4 linked regions of the Drosophila melanogaster genome follow. The protein of the gene in region 4 purifies or fractionates together with the protein of the main gene of each other region. This does not show direct contact. Each region holds a gene or a part of one and is shown on either strand. Other genes may lie near its edges. The genes, in order: ktub, Nemp, frm and RnrS.

Evidence for each region.
Region 1: the proteins of RnrS (region 4) and ktub purify together in Drosophila melanogaster (affinity purification with mass spectrometry, with the first as the bait; one large-scale study listed by BioGRID). This does not show direct contact.
Region 2: the proteins of RnrS (region 4) and Nemp purify together in Drosophila melanogaster (affinity purification with mass spectrometry, with the first as the bait; one large-scale study listed by BioGRID). This does not show direct contact.
Region 3: the proteins of RnrS (region 4) and frm purify together in Drosophila melanogaster (affinity purification with mass spectrometry, with the first as the bait; one large-scale study listed by BioGRID). This does not show direct contact.

What each region holds. Positions count from the first base shown.
Region 1 is NT_033778.4:21,100,234-21,104,937, reverse strand, and holds the start of ktub (king tubby), read right to left. Parts: upstream 3,011-4,704; 5' UTR 2,363-3,010; coding exon 2,321-2,362; intron 1-2,320. Other genes in the region: CG34396 (uncharacterized protein), read right to left, coding at 3,687-4,704. UniProt on the Drosophila melanogaster protein: Functions in regulating protein trafficking, retinal maintenance and lipid storage. Protects photoreceptor cells R1 to R6 against light-induced retinal degeneration by stimulating norpA-mediated endocytosis of the rhodopsin ninaE (Rh1).
Region 2 is NC_004354.4:16,652,720-16,656,771, forward strand, and holds Nemp (nuclear envelope integral membrane protein), read right to left. Parts: upstream 2,297-4,052; 5' UTR 2,149-2,296; coding exon 1,417-2,148; intron 1,350-1,416; coding exon 717-1,349; 3' UTR 501-716; downstream 1-500. Other genes in the region: CG32573 (uncharacterized protein), read left to right, coding at 1-448; r (rudimentary), read left to right, coding at 3,679-4,052. UniProt on the Drosophila melanogaster protein: Contributes to nuclear envelope stiffness in germ cells. Required for male and female fertility.
Region 3 is NT_037436.4:5,548,150-5,552,956, forward strand, and holds the start of frm (farmer), read right to left. Parts: upstream 3,011-4,807; 5' UTR 2,659-3,010; coding exon 2,635-2,658; intron 1-2,634.
Region 4 is NT_033778.4:11,982,635-11,987,001, forward strand, and holds RnrS (ribonucleoside diphosphate reductase small subunit), read right to left. Parts: upstream 2,760-4,367; 5' UTR 2,633-2,759; coding exon 2,582-2,632; intron 2,434-2,581; coding exon 2,185-2,433; intron 1,677-2,184; coding exon 795-1,676; 3' UTR 511-794; downstream 1-510. Other genes in the region: GalT1 (beta1,3-galactosyltransferase 1), read right to left, coding at 1-90; CG34231 (uncharacterized protein), read left to right, coding at 3,437-3,529, 3,629-3,773, 3,827-4,080; rho-7 (rhomboid-7), read right to left, coding at 4,238-4,328. UniProt on the Drosophila melanogaster protein: Provides the precursors necessary for DNA synthesis. Catalyzes the biosynthesis of deoxyribonucleotides from the corresponding ribonucleotides.

The sequences.
Region 1 (4,704 bases), 9.1 Mb from region 4:
CTACAAGTGCCGGGTAATTTGAGACAGAAGTCAAATAATAATACAGCTCTTACCGAAACAATCAATCAGTTCATAATGACAGCTCCAAATGCACATTTAATAAGGTATCGTATTCTTATTAAATATTAAATCTCGACTTTGGCTGTCAGACGAAAAGTTTGGTAAATTCGATTTCGTTTTAGCCGGCTTTTCCTCTCGTTGGGTCAAGAACCTCGTATTTGAAGCAACAGAACGAAAATTACAGGCTCGAAACAAAGGGCAAAAGCCGTAAAGCTAAGTGAAGTTAGGCTAATATACATATTAGGGTGGACCTTTTTCTTAATGCTAAAAACAGCAGTTGGAAGTACACCGAATAAACTTTGTTCATTTGATCAAAAGAAAGTTATATATGGTCAGTTAGATGGCGGGTCTCTTTTCTGCTTGAGCTCTACTCTAGTCAAATCATATTTTTTAATCACTTCTCAAGCTTTAAAGGTTCACCCTAATCTACGCAAGTAACTTATTAGAAAAAGTCGGTGCGTCACATCCTTTTTTTTTGGCCGAAATGTTTCTTTTTACGACTTGCGTGAGGAAAAGCTTGAGCGATTTGCGGAAAGCAAATATTATATTCATATGTGGAAGTAGTGAACAATTGTGTGACTTATTGCTGGGCATTATCCTGCGGCTCAGTTCCTCGCGAAGCTGAAGGACTCGTCACCAGGCGGGAATCGATTTTGTGGCCTCGCTTAATGGTATTCCATGGGTGATGGCAATACGAAAACAATGCCAACGAATGGTATTGTGTATATTTCTAGTTGCGCTGTCTGTCTGTGTTCCTATGGGGATACTATAGAATCCTGTCTGCCTGGACATATCTGTGTGTGTGTGTGTGTGGGTAGTTGCCCATAGTGACGCAGGACACCAATCAAAGAAAGGATACTACATTGTGGGTTAGCTGGCGTCCAGGCCGAAGACTTTATTAATCCTTTGTGTATATTTAGCGACCACTTTATGAGTTGACTGCCATATATCTTTCTGTTGATTTATGCCAAGTGCAAATTGACTCCGTTTTTTTGTGCCACATTCTCTTTTTTATGGCGGATATAACTTTGTGTTGGCTTAAGCTCGAGAAAATGACCCAAAACGATTGTTCGGAAGGATTAATGTTCTATGCTAACACGTTCAAAGAAAATTAGCTTGACTCAGCAAGTGAATATTTATCATATTTATACTCGCATTTGAAAATGAATGTGATAAAGCAAACATTATTCAAACAAGCTGCTTTAAAATGGTAATCACGAAATGTGTTAATTCATGGGAATTTGTGAGATGATTCAATGTGAATTTATAATTAAAATTAAAATTCAATCAAAATGAAATGCGCTCCCATGGCTTCCACTTATTTTCGATTTCTTTCAAGCTATTTCATTTGTAGCTGAAATGACTTGGCATAATGTTTTCAAAATGTCCTCCCATTCGAAGAAGCTGTCAATAGCTGCTCAATGTTTTATAAGCCATAGCGGCACGAAATCGAAGTAACTCGAAGGACCCAGGACCTCCCACACTTGGCAGCCCAACTCAACCACATCGAAGTGATTCGATTTATGAGCCAGTGGGTGGAGTAGGGTGCCTTTTGGTTCCGTGCCACTCAACATAATTAGGGCCAATGACAATCGAATCGGACTGCAGCAACTGCACCACCACCAGGAGCTTCGTTTCGATTTATTTGGACGCCGTTGCCAGGACAACGGACGAACACCTGGCCACGAGCAAACGGGCACAACAAAACCACTTGGAGAAGGCGTTAAGCCACTTGGGTGTTTCATTTTCCTTTTTTTTTTGTTGCCTTTAAGGGGTGGCACATTTAGAGCGGTCAACTTTGAGGCCAAAAAGTGAACAATTCCGTGTAATGCCGGCTGATGGCCCCTTTTCTGCTGGCGCTGATTGCTATGGGCTGCCCGAGTTTTCCAAGAAAGGAGTGGATTTTCTTGTTTCTAGACCACATTCACGAACCGTCGGGCTGGAAGAGTTAAAAGGCCAGTGCTAACTTGCCTTGATTCATGGTCAATTGAAAAAAAGTTCTTAAAGAATTCTTAGCTAAAGCAAAAGTTTAATACAAGTAGCCATTAAATTGTTCATAAATTTCGCTGTCGTATGTATAGATTGGTTTTGTTATAATATAGGATCGTTGGTTTAATGTGTCCACTTTATGAAGATTATCAAACACAATGGATATGAATGACACATTTAAAGAAATTCAAATTTCAGAGATTACATTATCAAAGATTATAGGTTTGGTAAAATCTAGAAAAGATCTGCCAAATTGGAGTGTTGGGTTTACCTGCTGTTCCATTTTCTGATTACGACTGTTGATTCCGGACATTTTTGCAGTTATGGCTGTAGATTTCAGAAGGCAATCAAAATCCTCTGACGATTTTCACTTAACTACGCGCGATTCAGATGATCCGATGAAGAGGCATTTGGCAAATATTCGGGAGTGACAGCTGTTTTGGGATTTGCGTTGAAGAGCGACTTTTCGAATGCGAATGAATGCAGCAAAACAAAAACCGATGGGGCACCAAAATAATTGAAGAAGAATCTATGAATTTAGCACACCTGGCGTCAGTTTGTATGGTATGGTATATATTTTGTAGTTTGTGGTAGTGTAGTACGGCAGCACACGCGACAACAAAAAAATCAAGGGGTGTTCACGAGGGTGAGGATTTGTAGACTGAAGCCAACAGCCGGCTCTTCCTGTTCTCGCTCAATTTTTTTTGTACCGACGCGATCGATCGGAATTCTCCGGATCGCTGGCACTGAATGTTTGCTTTAGCCACTGAGCGAGTACCGCCTGAATATGCATATATTTATAATGTTATACAATCTATGTTGTTTGACAAACACTTTCGTGCCCGTTGAGTTGCGTGTGATATTGTCCAATTGATTGAATTTGGCGCCTCTTTATTTTGGTAGAGGAGAGAAGGCGATGTAACCCGTCGACCGAACCGCACGCTGCCAAAACAACAACTGGGCGTCCAACAGAAGCCGTCAACTCAGGCGAAGTGCTCGTAGCGGAACGGAATGGAAACGGAACATGCACACGAATGCCAGCCGAAGCAGGAGTGCGAAGCATGCCATCCTGTCGTGTGTCAGCGAAAGAGAGGCAGAGAGAACCACAACTCGCTCTCAATGGGAATGGGTCTCTCCCTCTCTCCCTCTCTCTCTCTCTCTCCGCACAACGCCTCCTGTGGCTGCTTCCTCTTCCATTTCCTACGAGCGACAGATGTGCAGCTGCCGACTGCGACTGCATTTGGATTCGCGCCCCCGACTCCCTGTTACTGGGATTTTGGGATGCATTCCCGTACAAAGCATACGCATCTGGCAATTCGATTCCGGATTGAGCAAAAAACCACGCTGATAACAGGATAATAGAGTGTTGAAAAATTATACAACTTTATGATTATGATCCTTAAGCGGAATTTACAACAATTAAAAACATCAATTTGCGTTGTCAACTCGCGCGCTTTATTTCATTAACATTAGACTTATGCTACGATGATGGTGAGTAAAATTAAATAACAAATAAATGAATATAGAGTTTCGCGTTACGGTAAATTCGATTGAAATTGCCTTGTCATTTTTGAGGTTTCTTACACGTTAACTTTGTCGGTTTTTTTTTTGTTTGGAGGCGGAAGATCCCAGGGATTCTAGAAAAACCTGTGCTTTTTCTTCTTCTTGTTCTCCCCCTCCGCCGGCGGCTGGGGATCCACGGAAACCTGACGCCTGGGCAGCAGAGGTGGCGGAGTAACATCCCCAGCTCCAACAGCATCGGCTCCAACTCCATTAGCATCCACTCCATTGGACGCCGGCGATAGAGGACGCGGTGCGCGCAGGATCGAGGTGAGTGGTGGCACCGGGGAGTGGCCATTGCCATTCGCCTCCTGGCCATCCTCCTCGATCCTGTCCAGTCGCGAACCGTGCACCGAGGCAAGCTCGGAGGGAGTCTTCACCTGGGAGCCGCCCTCATCACCAAGCTCGCTGGTCATGTTCATGCCAATGGTGGCGCCCACTTTGGCGCTGGCCATTTTGAAGTGATCGCTCAGCTTGATCTGCACCACATTGATGAACATGGAGGTCAGGGCCAAGCCGAACATCAGATAGATCATGCTGACCATTACGTAGAAGGGATTACTGGGCACCAGGTCGCCGAACCCAATTGTGGACATCGAGATGAACACGTAGTAGAAGGCATCCAGTGGAGTCCAGCTGGGCTCCATCATTAGAAAGCCGAAGGATCCTAGGAGGATGTACGTAATGAGCAGCAGCGAGGCCACCGACACTGGCAAATTGAACTCGTCGTCCACCTCGAAGGTCTCTGGATAGGGTGATGTGGGTGTCTCCGGGTGCGAGGTGCCCACCGATCTTGCGGCCTCGGCATCCGCCTGCGACTCCTCATCGTTCTCTGGCGCAGAGTTGCTGAAGAACATGCTCGGCCTGCGGATGGCCATGTCGTACATCGTATTGAAGCCTGTCATGGCGCTCCGGATCTGCTGCTGCTTTCGTATCCGGCGGCAGGAGCGCGTGTAGTACATCCGTCGCACATACACCCACAGGAACTTGACGCAGCGCGTGAATAACTTGCCCAGATCGGCCAGCACGATCAGGAACATGGGGATGCCGATGATGGCATAGACGATGGTCAGGGATCGACCCATGCCCGTCTTT
Region 2 (4,052 bases), on a different chromosome or scaffold from region 4:
CCTGCTGAGTCGCTCCGATCGCGAGTACATCTACACGACCATAACGGACGAGTGGAACTACGGTCTGAATGGGCGGCAGATGTTCTCCTGGCGCGAGAAGAACTTCACCGATACCGCGGGCCTGACACGCGCCTTCGTCCAGGAGCAGCACTCCACGCCGCTCTTCACGCTGCGTAGCGAGCTCTTCAAGTGGTACTACTTCGTCGATCCCAGCCAGGGCAATCGCTTGGCCGCCCTGCGCTCCGGCAGTCCCAGCTCCTCGACCAGCACCTGGACCATCGCCTACGCGGGCGACGCACTCATCTTCCGGCAGCGCGAACTCACGCTCTGTGCTGCCGAAAAGTTCGACGACGATCGTCGTCTGGTGAAGATGCTGCCCGGCCAGATGCACACGCCGCCATCGGAGGCTTGCCAGTGGCTACCGATCGCCTGTGCTCCGCCAAAATGAGCGGGATGGCTGTACCCTGGAATGTTTGCAACAAATAAACTTATGCATTAGTGTATAAGTGTTTTTATTCCTAGCCAGTCATGAATAATTAAATATATAATTTGTATTAATATGTGTGTTTCCGTTCAGTCTGCAAGTGATTATACAAATATTAGAAAGGGTAACCAAACAAACAAATTTTACAGAACGGTACAGCATAGAACGTGGTGGTCAATGGTTTCAATTAAGCCTAATCAGTGGTTCCCCTTGTGGTTGAGCTGTTCGTCCGTTATTGTACTACTTGCCGAAGGTCCACCTCCTGCTCGAAGAACTCCTCCTCCTCGCTGTCATCGGACTCCGACTCCGGCTCCGGCTCCGAGTTGCGGGCGGCCTGTTGATAGCGGAACTGCGAGTTGGGCAGCGGCAGTAACTCCGCTGGTTTATCCTCCTCAGGTTCCTCCACTGATTCCTCCTCGGGCGCCGCATCCATGGACTCCTCGATGGTGCGCGAGTGGTCCTCGATCTCTTCGTCGTCCAGATGCGGTGCTCCATTGGCGAACGAGGCGAAGCGCAAAGGATCACGCAGTTTGCCCATCACCGCCCACTGCTTGCACTCCGGACTGTTGACGTACTTGCGCAGGTCCGCCAGCGATTTCGAGGTCTCCACGGCCGTCTGCTGTTCGTACTCCTCCTGGGTGAGCATGCGCCTCTTTAGCGGAAAACGGCGGCGATACATGAACTTGATCTGGTTCGTCCACGAAATGGGGAAGTAGTGGGCCACAAAGACCAGCACCATGATGAAGATCACGGCGCTGGTGTGCCAGCTGCTGAAGTAAGCCATAACGGCGCCAATGGCCTGCAGCACCCACATGACGATGGTTTGCGATCGAGGATTCTTGGGCGGACCAATGCGATAGCAGATCTGTAGAATAATCGAGGCAATTAGCTGGGGTTATCTAATCAAAAGGGAATATCAAGTGACTACGCACCAGGAACGAGATCAGTCCGGTGATCACCAGATAGCCCAGCACATGGTCGCGGTAGGTGATCAGAATCAAACGCAGATTGTCCGCCAGCTGTTTGATCACATAGAAGCCAATGGTCCAGCCGCCAATTAGGACGCCATACATCATGGTACGTCGCGGAAAGAGTTTGGCGGCCAAATAGATGACCACCAGCAGGGAGGCGCATATGCCGATGACAATGCCGACCAGATAGTAGAACACACTGTTCTTTGCTAGCCGCCGGGCGCTGAAGAGGATCAGTATGCCGACGGCGAACTGTGCGAGACGCCACAGATCCAGCGGAATGCTATTCAGAATGACGGTGTACGCCTGGCGGGAGGAAATCCCGATGCACTGCTGCTCGAAGGGCGAGAGCTGCAGCAGCTGGCGCTTCTGCGCGAACAGGGTGATGCTGAACAGCGATTGCTTGTCCTTGTAGTGCTGCAACACCTCCTCCGGCGTCTTCCCACCGTACTGGGAATAATCATCGCTCCCGATGGCCAGGACGAACTCCACAGTCTCGAAGAGACTTGACACCGTCAGCCGTTTACCCGGATAGCAGAACGTGCGCAGAGTCTGCAGTCCCAAGATGTTCTCCGACAAATTGATGTATGTGCCCGGCGTCAGGTAGGCGACGTCCGAGGAAGCCGTATTGCCAGGAATACCCGATGTGAAATATCCAGCCACGGTTAGCATCAGTAGTCCAGCCGAATGCATTATGAACGGTTGCAATGGCGTTAATCTTATCAATCAGTGCGCTTTCAGTCTGTTGCTCTCGCAGGACGTTCGCTTGTTAAATGCTGACTTGCTTATGCTTGATGTTTTGATGTTTACTTTACTTTAAGGAATCGAATGAAAAAGCAACGCCGCTTTGGTTTATGTCCTCACTCACGACGGGACGGGCAGTATATCGTAACGTAAGAAAAATGTATCGATAGGTGTGTGTGTGACTACACTGTTGTGATTTCAAATTTGTGACTAACCATTTAATTGTGGATTATTTATTTCCTTTGGAATACTTTGCAGAACACCCCATTTAAACATGTTTGCTAATATTATTACAAATATCTTATCTTATTCATAACAATAAATGAATATATAACGTTCTTGCCAAGTTCCCAACCTGCAATATTACTTCTAGTAAAGTTCCACACCGCCGAGCTAAGCTCTTGCTGTGGCATTTTTTAGCACATAATGCACGAAGATTCCGATTCAACCAAGGCGGTGAATTCAGTTGTTCGACTTTGATTTTCCAGACGTTAATTGGAGCCAATTTGCAAGCAAACACAGTTAAATGCTCAAACTAAACATATCCGAGCAGTGCGAAGTTAACCAGCTCTAAAAGCGGTGTCGCAAAGTAAACAAATCAAGTTGTCAATCGAATTAAAGTCGAAACCAAAACGTGTTCACAACTACAAGTGCAGCAAAGAGAGAGCTTCGCTTGAAAGTACACGGAATCGTAAGTGAGCTGTAGTTGTAACGGGTGCAGATGGGAAAAGGATAACTTGATGGCGATACTAATGCATCGTAGCTTAAGGATTCTCAGTTGGTTAATCCTCAATTCCTGCCCAAAGTCCAATTCAAAGTTAAAGTCAATGTTATTGTTATTCTCATTTGCTGACCGAACCGGTTTCCAATTGGATCCAAACTTCTCACACGTGCTTACGCACACACAAAACGCACCCTCTCACACTCGCTCTTCCTCTTTCTTCTCCGCCGCTAGTCATCGTGTAAACAAACCGTGAATGGCAATATCAAATGACAACAGGAACTTGAAACGCTTGATAAGCAGTGTCCATTCCCAATCAGAACCGTGTTGTGCCCCGCTCAACATGTTGCCAGACAGTTAAATACATGCATACATTCATCTATCGCGGCTTCCTATTGGATTCTTTGTATATTTTCTTGGGCCGGCAAACTGTGTGCGTGTGACGGTGTGTTTATAAACACATGTGTTTTTTGAACAAGATAACCTGTGGAATTATATTACATTACATTTAAAATCGAGGGTATGCACGCGCTCTGCGTAAACATATAGCATAGTCATAGCATATACTCATTAAGTAAAGTTCCCAGAGTCGCCGAATATTGTTATCAGATTTTCGACTCAATATTGTGTCTACTTGCCTTCGTAGAGATATGATCTTTTAATTAATTAACTTTGCTCGTTTATTTAAGACGGTTTTCGAGTGACAGGTACTAAAGAATACCCTATGGTTTCCAATCCTCCCCAGCAACTCGTCCAATATGGCCTCTACGGACTGTTACCTCGCACTGGAGGATGGCACAGTGTTGCCCGGGTACTCCTTTGGCTACGTTCCCTCGGAGAATGAATCCAAAGTGGGTTTTGGTGGCGAGGTGGTCTTCCAAACGGGCATGGTTGGCTACACGGAGGCGCTCACGGATCGATCGTACAGTGGTCAGATCCTGGTGCTTACCTATCCACTGATCGGTAACTATGGGGTACCAGCGCCGGATGAGGACGAGCACGGACTGCCGCTGCACTTCGAGTGGATGAAAGGCGTCGTCCAGGCCACCGCCTTGGTGGTGGGCGAGGTGGCTGAAGAGGCATTTCACTGGCGCAAATGGAAGACGCTGCCCGATTGGCTGAAGCAGCACAA
Region 3 (4,807 bases), on a different chromosome or scaffold from region 4:
TAATCAAACCGAAAATATTCGGCGGAACAAGTATAACCAGCTGTGGGCGATGGCCTTTAGGTTTGGATTTTCCAGTTAATCCAGACTTGAATTTAATTAGCGACGCATCTAGAATTCTTTGCAGAGCAGAAAAGTGCTAATGAGATCAGAACCCATCGATAGGCAAACGAATTAGCCAGTTTGATGCGAGACAATAGCTGGGAATTTGTCCAACGAATGTATAGTCGACTGTCACTGAACTTCCACTGGACTTGTTCTGATTTATTAAAGCAATTAAAAAATAAACCGTTGGGCCTGGCACGGTTGAGCATCCCGAATGACATCATATTATTTTTAAAAACTTTTACTTTCAACTCTTGGCATTTGGCTGCAGCTTAATGAATACACTTTGTATAGCGTTTTCGTTTTTACTTAAAACCAGCCCCAAAGACTTCCTCCATCATCGGCACCAAAACTATATATCTTATATCTCCATAGCTGCCGCCTTTGGCGATTGTCTCTCCTAATCGCCGACTAGCGATCGAGGGCTAATTTGCATTTCTAGATTCGTATTTTAGATACAGATTCCATATTGAAATTGGCCACAAACATATGGCAACAGAGAAGCGACATAAATTAGTGCGGCATAAAAGCCGACCTTTTGGGCCTTTAAATATCGAAAGTTAACTGGCGAGTAGGAGAAATAGTAAGAACCGATGAGCCATAAAAGTGAATGGGAGACGATGAAGTTCCATGAACTCTTACGTAATGTTGTTCTAGCTGGAAGTTGGCCCAGCCTGAATAAAAGTTCATTAACTGGTTTTTGTATCGTTGTTTCCTGGCAAAGCAGAAGTGCTCTGCCCTTCATTCGCACTTTAATTTAAATAATAACCCTTTTGGCTCTTGTAACTGTAAAGATTTAACTATTCATCGGACATGCCTAACGCTCCATTTTACAACCAAATAAATGTAATTTATTTCAATTGCCCCATTTGCCAGCAGCCAACTGTTTGTCATGCCAAACTCGACTTTGGCTACTCCATTTTATGACTCAACTCAGTAAGGCAACTACTACTGGGCGATTAAATCTCTTCAAATTGCACTACACCAAATGGCGGCAAAGAAAATTCCGCGGACTCTTTAAAATTCCGCACAAGCCGAGCTGAGAACAAATTTATAATAAAAAGAATTGTGGGCCAAGATGAGATGCGATGCCCTGCCCTGTCAACGTGGTGCCGCTGGGCATTTTCTCCCCCGACTTGGTTTGTTATTTTTTTTTTTTTACCCGTTTTTGTTTGTTGGCCGAGTACGTGTCTGGCAGAATATCTTGGCCCAAAACAGAGGCTTATGCCGCAGGCAATGGTAATAAATACCGAAGCGCCCGCAAAGCTTAACCCCAAATAACCATCGTGGATGGGGTCACTTTGGCAGGTGACAAGGGCCACAGACTGAATCCATTTTTTCTACGCCGAATGGAGATAGTATCTCGGCTCACTTAGAGCATCATTATGACACCTCTTTTGGGGAATTTCGGTGCTCATAAAATCGCAGGTACAAACAAAAAAAAAATGAGTAGCAGTCACAAGCAAAAACAATTAACAGCTTTGGATAGGCATTATCTAAGAATTTTTTGGCCATAATCAAATTAACACTCTTTTGCGATAGTATTTCCTAATGAAGCGGGTCCTTGACTCACGATTTTATTTAGCCTCAACTTTTGCACATTTAATATGTAGCTCCGTTAGGTAACAAAAAAAACAGCAAATGATAAAAAATGAATGGAAATTTGCATAATGCAGACAATGACAAAAACAGCTCTCTCCTTCTTTCTGAATCTCTTTGTTTAATACCCAGACATTTGTTATTTTCGGTAAACAACGTACTTCCCTACTGGCGCATTTTTGTCCGTTGACTAATCTTCTAACCCTGGCTAAAAACAACAAAATTGTACCGAGTATCGATTCGATTCCAAACAGCACAAAAAAATTCAAGTCAAATAAAAACTGGGCATTACTTTTGCTTCTGCGTTGTGTTGTGTGCCAAAGCAAACAGAAGTGCCTGCGTTTGCATCGCATCGTTTCGAAATTGCCGGTATTCGTATTTGTTTGCCCAGAAAAATGCCGGTTGGCTATTACTATTATTATTATTAGTATTATTACCGCACGTTTCTCCAACAAATTCGCCTTCGCGCCCGTGCTAGTGTAAATAAATTGTACAGAAAAATGGGTTTCCGAAATAGTTATAATTTGACCCGGACTTGTTAACGCTCGTTAAATGCGGAATTCCGCCTTAAATATCAGTTATGAGTTGTACAAATATTCTATATGCAGTTTGTAGCTCGTAAGCGTTTGAAATTTGGTTGCCATGCACTCTATTCGATATTCGAATGTGATCAAACACACTTAGCAGACGTTTTTATTACCATTTAATGTTTGACAATATTTTTAGCCAACTGCTAAATGTCTTTACAAAATATCAGTTGAAATAACAATCAAATCGAAGGTCATCTGAAGACATAAATTTGTTTATACACCCAAATTTAAGAAACAACAATCGTTTTTCGTTTGGCAATTGGACGTTAAACAATATGTACGTTTTTCAAAATCGAATAATTAAAAGTAATTGTTTTTTTTCTTGAGTATTCATTTAACTTACCATGCACAGAGCTGCACGCGCCATTTTGCAACGAATTTTATGTTTTTTTTTTGACACAAGAAACGCCAGTAAATATTTAGGTGTTTTGAATTTTACAATGGAATAAACTCAGTTATCCCTTTTCCAATCTTGAAAAGAAGAAAATGCTTATTTTAGTTTTATATTGAATCGCAGGCAGGCACACAGTTTCGCACTATAAGGTTGGAAATATTTGCAAATATTCCGTCTTGTTTATCCTTGCAATTAGTACAGTTCTCTTGCGGCTGCTATAGCCATTGATCGATCACAAGTGATTGGGTAGTGTTTTAGTATTTACTTTTAGGAGCCTAAACTAGAGCTCATACCGTGGTGACCGATGTGGACGAACTGAAGATGAACGCATCGAGTCTTAGCCATATAAACAGAGGCAGACGCAAAACAAAAAGGCGAAAAAACACACTCGACACAAAAAAAAGACTAAAAATCGTACTTGAGAGCAGCTCCTAACCCATACAGATACCTGGCTTAAAGTGCGTGAGTGTGTGTGTGTGTGTGTCTGAGTGTGAGTGGAACGAGTTTGCTTTTTTCGCCGGATTCGTTAATTTATTTGGCCAAGCGCCGGAGAGATGAGCTCGAACTAAGCCACGGGTCGTATACTTGATATATTGATCACTCTCCTCGGCGATTCGAACTCTCTCGCTCGGAATTCTCTAGGATCTGCTTGCGTGTCTCAAGAATTTAAGTTCACTTTCAGGTTCTTGGGGTTCATTAATATTTAGAGATTGATTTTTTTCCTCATCTTATTTATTCTCTTTTATGTTTTATTGTCTCGCGTGTTTGTTTGTTCAAAGAACGTTTTTTGTCTTTAATTGAAAATTCGAGTTTTTCGTGTTTATTTTGATTTAATTTTATCGTTAATCGAAGAGTGATATTTCAGATATACGCAGATATAGATAGATTGTCGTCTTTTTCTGGCTCCCGTCGTTGAGGGTTTATATATTTTGCTAAAAAATTATTTAGATGGTTTATTGATTTAATTAAAGCTTTGCAAAAAACCAGGGGAGCTTGGATTTATTATGCTTGACGCACGATTTCCGCATATACTAATTTTCTTCCTGTGTATGCAAGGGGCATAATTAAAATACCTCTGCAGCTATTGATCACAAATGAGCCAGAATTTAGATGTTTCTAAATCCTGATATGAACTCACACAGTAGCTAAGCAATTAATCTATGAGCTCACGAACCCAATGTCAGATAGGATTACCAATCGATTTGCCATAATTCAGACACCTTTTCATTTAGTTGCGAAACACTTCCGTTTGATGATCCGCTTAGCTAGAATGTTTCTCAATTCTTTTTTTTTATTTTGCATTCATTTCTTAAAGAGTTGCTGACATTTAAAGCACATTTTGCGGATTAACCGGACCGACTGCCAGAAAAGGGGAAACAATTTCAGCTTAATACGAAAACATTGCTTGCTCTTGAATGCAGCAATTGACACAGAAAATAATCAGCTTCTTCACTCTTGGACATTAAACAGGATGAAGTTAATGACAATGCTTAAGTCAAGGACAAAGCCCACCGAATGAATACAATGTATGAGTATTTTCGACTATAAAAACAGAAATGAGTAAGGGAAGCAAGCGATGTGGAGAAAGCAAAAGCTAAATACCCTTTAATCACAACTAAAATAATGGACATTAATTTAAATATAAATAATTAGCTAAAATTGGAATATATAAATAAATATATAAATATAAATATCTTTTATTTTTTTATACAATTTATATTGCTTAAGACTTTTTATTAAACCTTTAAGATACCCTAAGATACCCTACTTAAGAAAAGGGCAACCCAATCGAATCCAAAATTGGCTCAGCATGCAACCATCCAACGCAGCTGGGGTTCGTTTTGTAAAATATGTCTACGTGGGCTTAGTAAAAGATTAAAAAATATACATTTTAAACAATTCGCCAACGGCAATATTAAGCAAGGATGCATAATAAAACTTAATTCAATCGACTCACTAAAAAACAACGTGAACAGTCAAATACTTAAATGCATTCTCGACATTCCATTTACATTACCTGCCACGAGTGATGACCTTGACATCGCTTAGTAAGCGGTTACTATATCTTTATCCTGCTAAGCCTTCAAAATTCTCAAATCATTATTAAATTTTTTTGCTTTAA
Region 4 (4,367 bases):
GGAAGCAGCTGCTCCCGAGCTGGAGGAATATTCCGCTGCCAAGAGGGAGCTCTGCTCCTCGATTTTTTCTGGATTCCACCTTCTGTCCATGTGACTGGATTCACTTATCGCCACTGGTCCTCCGCCTACAATTTAATGCACTGTTCGCATTTTATCAACTATTAGGGCGCCTAGCTGAATTGGGTTGATTTAATCGCCCACTCCTGTTATTGACATCTAATACTTTTTATGGTAATAACTGAATAACAAGAATTTTATCCAAATTGATAAAAACAGCGAATGGGATTGTTCAGCACAGCTGATAGTAAAAATGCCCGTGACTATCGATAAGTTTACCTACCATATATATAACTGAAATCGAAAATTTGAAATTCGAATTATTTAAATTCTTAAATTTTCCCAATCCTTTTTATAAATTTTTTTGAAATTGATTTTCTTATTATATAATCGTGCATAAACAGTAATTTTTGAAGATTTTTTTCAGAATAATTAAAACTCAATTTTACTTGTAGTGCTTAATAATTGTCTATGTATAAATTTATTTAAAATGTTGTATGTACAATGAATTCGGAAAAGGTACGCTCCTCGTAAAAGTCAAGTGTGTAGATAGTATTATAAACGTAATTGGAGGTCCAAGTAAATGATTAGGTGAATGTGTTGAAGGTCTGTGATTGTTCTTAGCCTATGTTAAAATTAAAACGGACTACATATAATTGCCGTCAGATTAAAATATAAAGGATGAGAAGCCAGCCCTTGAGAGGTTTAAATTGCAACAATGATGTCCGGGGCCAGCCCTAGAAATCCGCGTCCAGGGTGAACACGTTGTCCAGGGGGTTGCTGACCACTCCCATGCGCTGGTACTCCCCCACCTTCTTCTCAAAAAAGTTGGTCTTTCCATCCAGCGATATCATCTCCATGAAGTTAAAGGGGTTTTTGGTGTTGTAGATCTTTCCAACGCCCAACTCCACGAGCAAACGGTCCGCTACGAACTCAATGTACTGGGACATCAGGTCGCAATTCATGCCAATCAAATTGACGGGCAGGGCATCGGTAAGGAACTCCTGCTCAATGGCCACCGCGTCGCGGATGATCTCGATGATGCGCTCGCGCTTGGGTCGCTGCACCAGGTGTTGGAACATCAGCACGGCAAAGTCGCAGTGCAAGCCCTCGTCGCGAGAGATAAGCTCGTTGGAGAAGGTCAATCCAGGCATCAGACCTCGCTTCTTAAGCCAGAAAATGGAAGCGAAGCTGCCGCTGAAGAAGATGCCCTCCACGGCGGCAAAGGCGATGATGCGTTCCCCGAAGTTGGCCGATTTGGAGGAGATCCAGGACAGGGCCCAGTCTGCCTTGCGCTTCACAGCCGGCATCGTTTCGATAGCGTTAAACAGGTACTCTCGCTGGTGTGGATCACGGATGTAAGTGTCGATCAAAACACTGTACATCTCCGAGTGCACGTTCTCCATGGCGATCTGAAAGCCGTAGAAGCAACGTGCCTCCGTGATCTGCACCTCCTGACTGAAGCGCTCCACCAGGTTCTCGTTTACGATGCCGTCGGAGGCGGCGAAGAAGGCAAGCACGTGCGAGATGAAATGGCGCTCGTCGTCCTTCAGGCGGTGCCAATCAGTAAGGTCCTTGGACAAATCCACCTCCTCGACAGTCCAGAAAGAAGCCTCAGCCTGCACATTAAAAAAAAAAGTTACAATTTTAAAAGAGATAATTACTGTATAAATTTATTATTTTTCATTTTCCACTTTAACAAGTTTTCAAGAAATGTCATCGTGCACAACGAGCTTATCAATTAAAATGCAATTAAAATGTAAACAAAGTTACTACAAAGCAATTAAAAGCGGCGGGGAAATGTAATTGGCTACATAAAATGGTATAGTATGTGATCGTTATGTGCTGCATTTCCCGCCAAAAACGAAGGCTATTGTTGACATTGAGTAAACCGTGATGCAGTGAATCAGCGGAAAGGGAGGGTCGAGAAATGTGGGAGGGGGTTGTTTAACCAAACGAAGCTATCATAAAGTCTGATTCGTGTAATCAACCACGTTGAGTACGTGACCGGCTTTTGGCGCGCTTTATCTCGAAATGCCCGCCCTTTTGATATTTTGCCGCCCAAAAAATAGATTTTCACCACCAATGCAAATGGACAGTGTTTTGCTATATGTATGGTATACACACCTTCTTGTACATCTGCCAGATGTCGTGGTACTGGATGGGAAAGATGACGAAGCGTCGGGGATTCTCGCGCAGAAGGGGCTCCAGCGACGGGTCGAAGGGGGTTACGGACTTCTCCATGAGGGAATTGGCAGACTTGCCGATGCCATTCACGGTGGAGGACTCCTTGGCCAACTGTCCGTTTGCCTCGTGTCCAATGGACATCTTGCGAACGTTGTTGGTGCTATCCGTCAGAATCTTCTTGCTCGGGCTCTGTTAACAACGAAAAACAAAGAAGGCCAACTAAAGCATGAGTATTTTTCCGCTGCGTAGCACTTTTCCCTAGGGAAATCAACACAAGCGCACTGATCGCGGTATTACGTCTATGTATAGCTGTGAACTTTATTTGCGTGTCGATTACCTTAAGCGAGAACTTCTCCATGTTGTCAGCAATGTTTTCCTTGGACGCCATTTGAGATGTTTTTGAATGGATTATTATTAGCAGGTAGGGGCGCTTCTCTGATTCTCTGGTAAAATTCACTTAAACCACGACGTGTATTAAGTGTACAGTTTGAAAGTTGTGTGGCAAATGATCTGGGAAATACAGCTACATTGGGTTTTATGCCGGGCGGCAAACTGTTTCGATTTGCCGCCATTTTTGGTGATGGGAAAACTATGGGAAAATCAGGGCTGTCGAGTGCGTCAATTCACTTTTTATAAATTTAGGGTAAATCTAATGCAATTATGGGGTGGTAGTTTTCTTTTCTTAAACCATAAATCGAATCCTTACTGCACAATTTTATGTTTAGCTTCCCAGCTTGTCACTTGAAAAATATTAATATTAATAGTTTCAAATACTAAATAAATTTTGAAATTTTTTTATCATCGATATTTCATGCAATGAGACAACCCTAGACTAATCCAGAAAACAGCTGATGAAACGCCACTTAATTAGTTTTGAGTGAAAAAATTTGGTCCTCTTGCTACAATTAGATAAAAAATCAAGGTGAAACAAAGTTAAAATTTTTTTCCAAGGACATTGACTTAAAATTAATTTTTTTTTTGGAAATCTCGAATTATTTGGAAATGCAACAGGTGCTAACATACTCAATTCAACAACTTTGAATGAATTCCATTACAGCGAATCATGTAAATAACAGTACAATAACATAACAGCTGGCTGTTGATATTTATCGATAAGTACGTTTAATCGTGGACTTGAAAATAATAATAAACAAATCCGTTTAGTTGTAGTTTTGTTTTTAATATCCTGAATATGGAAGCCTCTTCTTCTGAACACCACAAACGTCTGGAATACTGCACTACAAGATTGAAATACCGTCAGGGCCGCGAATTGAAAGCTGTCAAGGTGGGGAAATAGTAATGTTTAGTAGTAATAGTTTAGTAATAGCTTTATAGTAATAGCAATGTTTTATTGTACTTTTATTGTGTTTTTTATCCTTTGTAGGTTTATACAGTTGCTAGTGAGTCCCGTCATTTGCTGATCTTTGGGGTACCTAAAATAAATCTTCAAGCTAATCTCAGGACGAAACTACAAGGATTTGGTAAAGTGCAATCATGTATTTCGGTAACTTCAGAGATGGCTTCAAAAAGTATGATTATCCCTGTTCAAGATCTTTTTTATATAGTGTTCCTTTTGTTTCAGTGGATCTGGAAGCTTTTACAGATGTGTTTGCCGTGAAGTTCGAGCGCCTTGAGGTGGCGAGAAGAGCCAAGAAAATGCTCGATGCTCATCAGTTCTATGGTGGAATCTTGCACATATCATACGCTCCAGAACGAGAATCCCTTGAGGAACTTAGGGAGAAGATTCAGCAGCGCAGGCACGAAGTAGCTTTTCGTATTCGAAGAAATCAGAAGGATCAAACACAAGTTCCAAAAAAGAGCCGGGAAACCACATGAGTACAGGATGTCAACGATTTATTCAACTTAACTGATTTCAATGAACTTCTAAGGCAGAACGATGTCACTCTTATTGACACAGCGTAGTGCTACTCGCTACCGCTCTATTGCCTCAGCTCCCCGTCCGTTCACTTGGCGAATCCCCAAGCCTCCTGTACTATTTCTGCTTCGTCCGGCGCAGGTCATGGTAGTAATTCAGTAGACCAATGCGCTTTGCCCATATCTGTGCCCCATACGTGGCCCAAAAGCTGTAAATTACCGTAGGATTAATAAGACAACCTGTGATG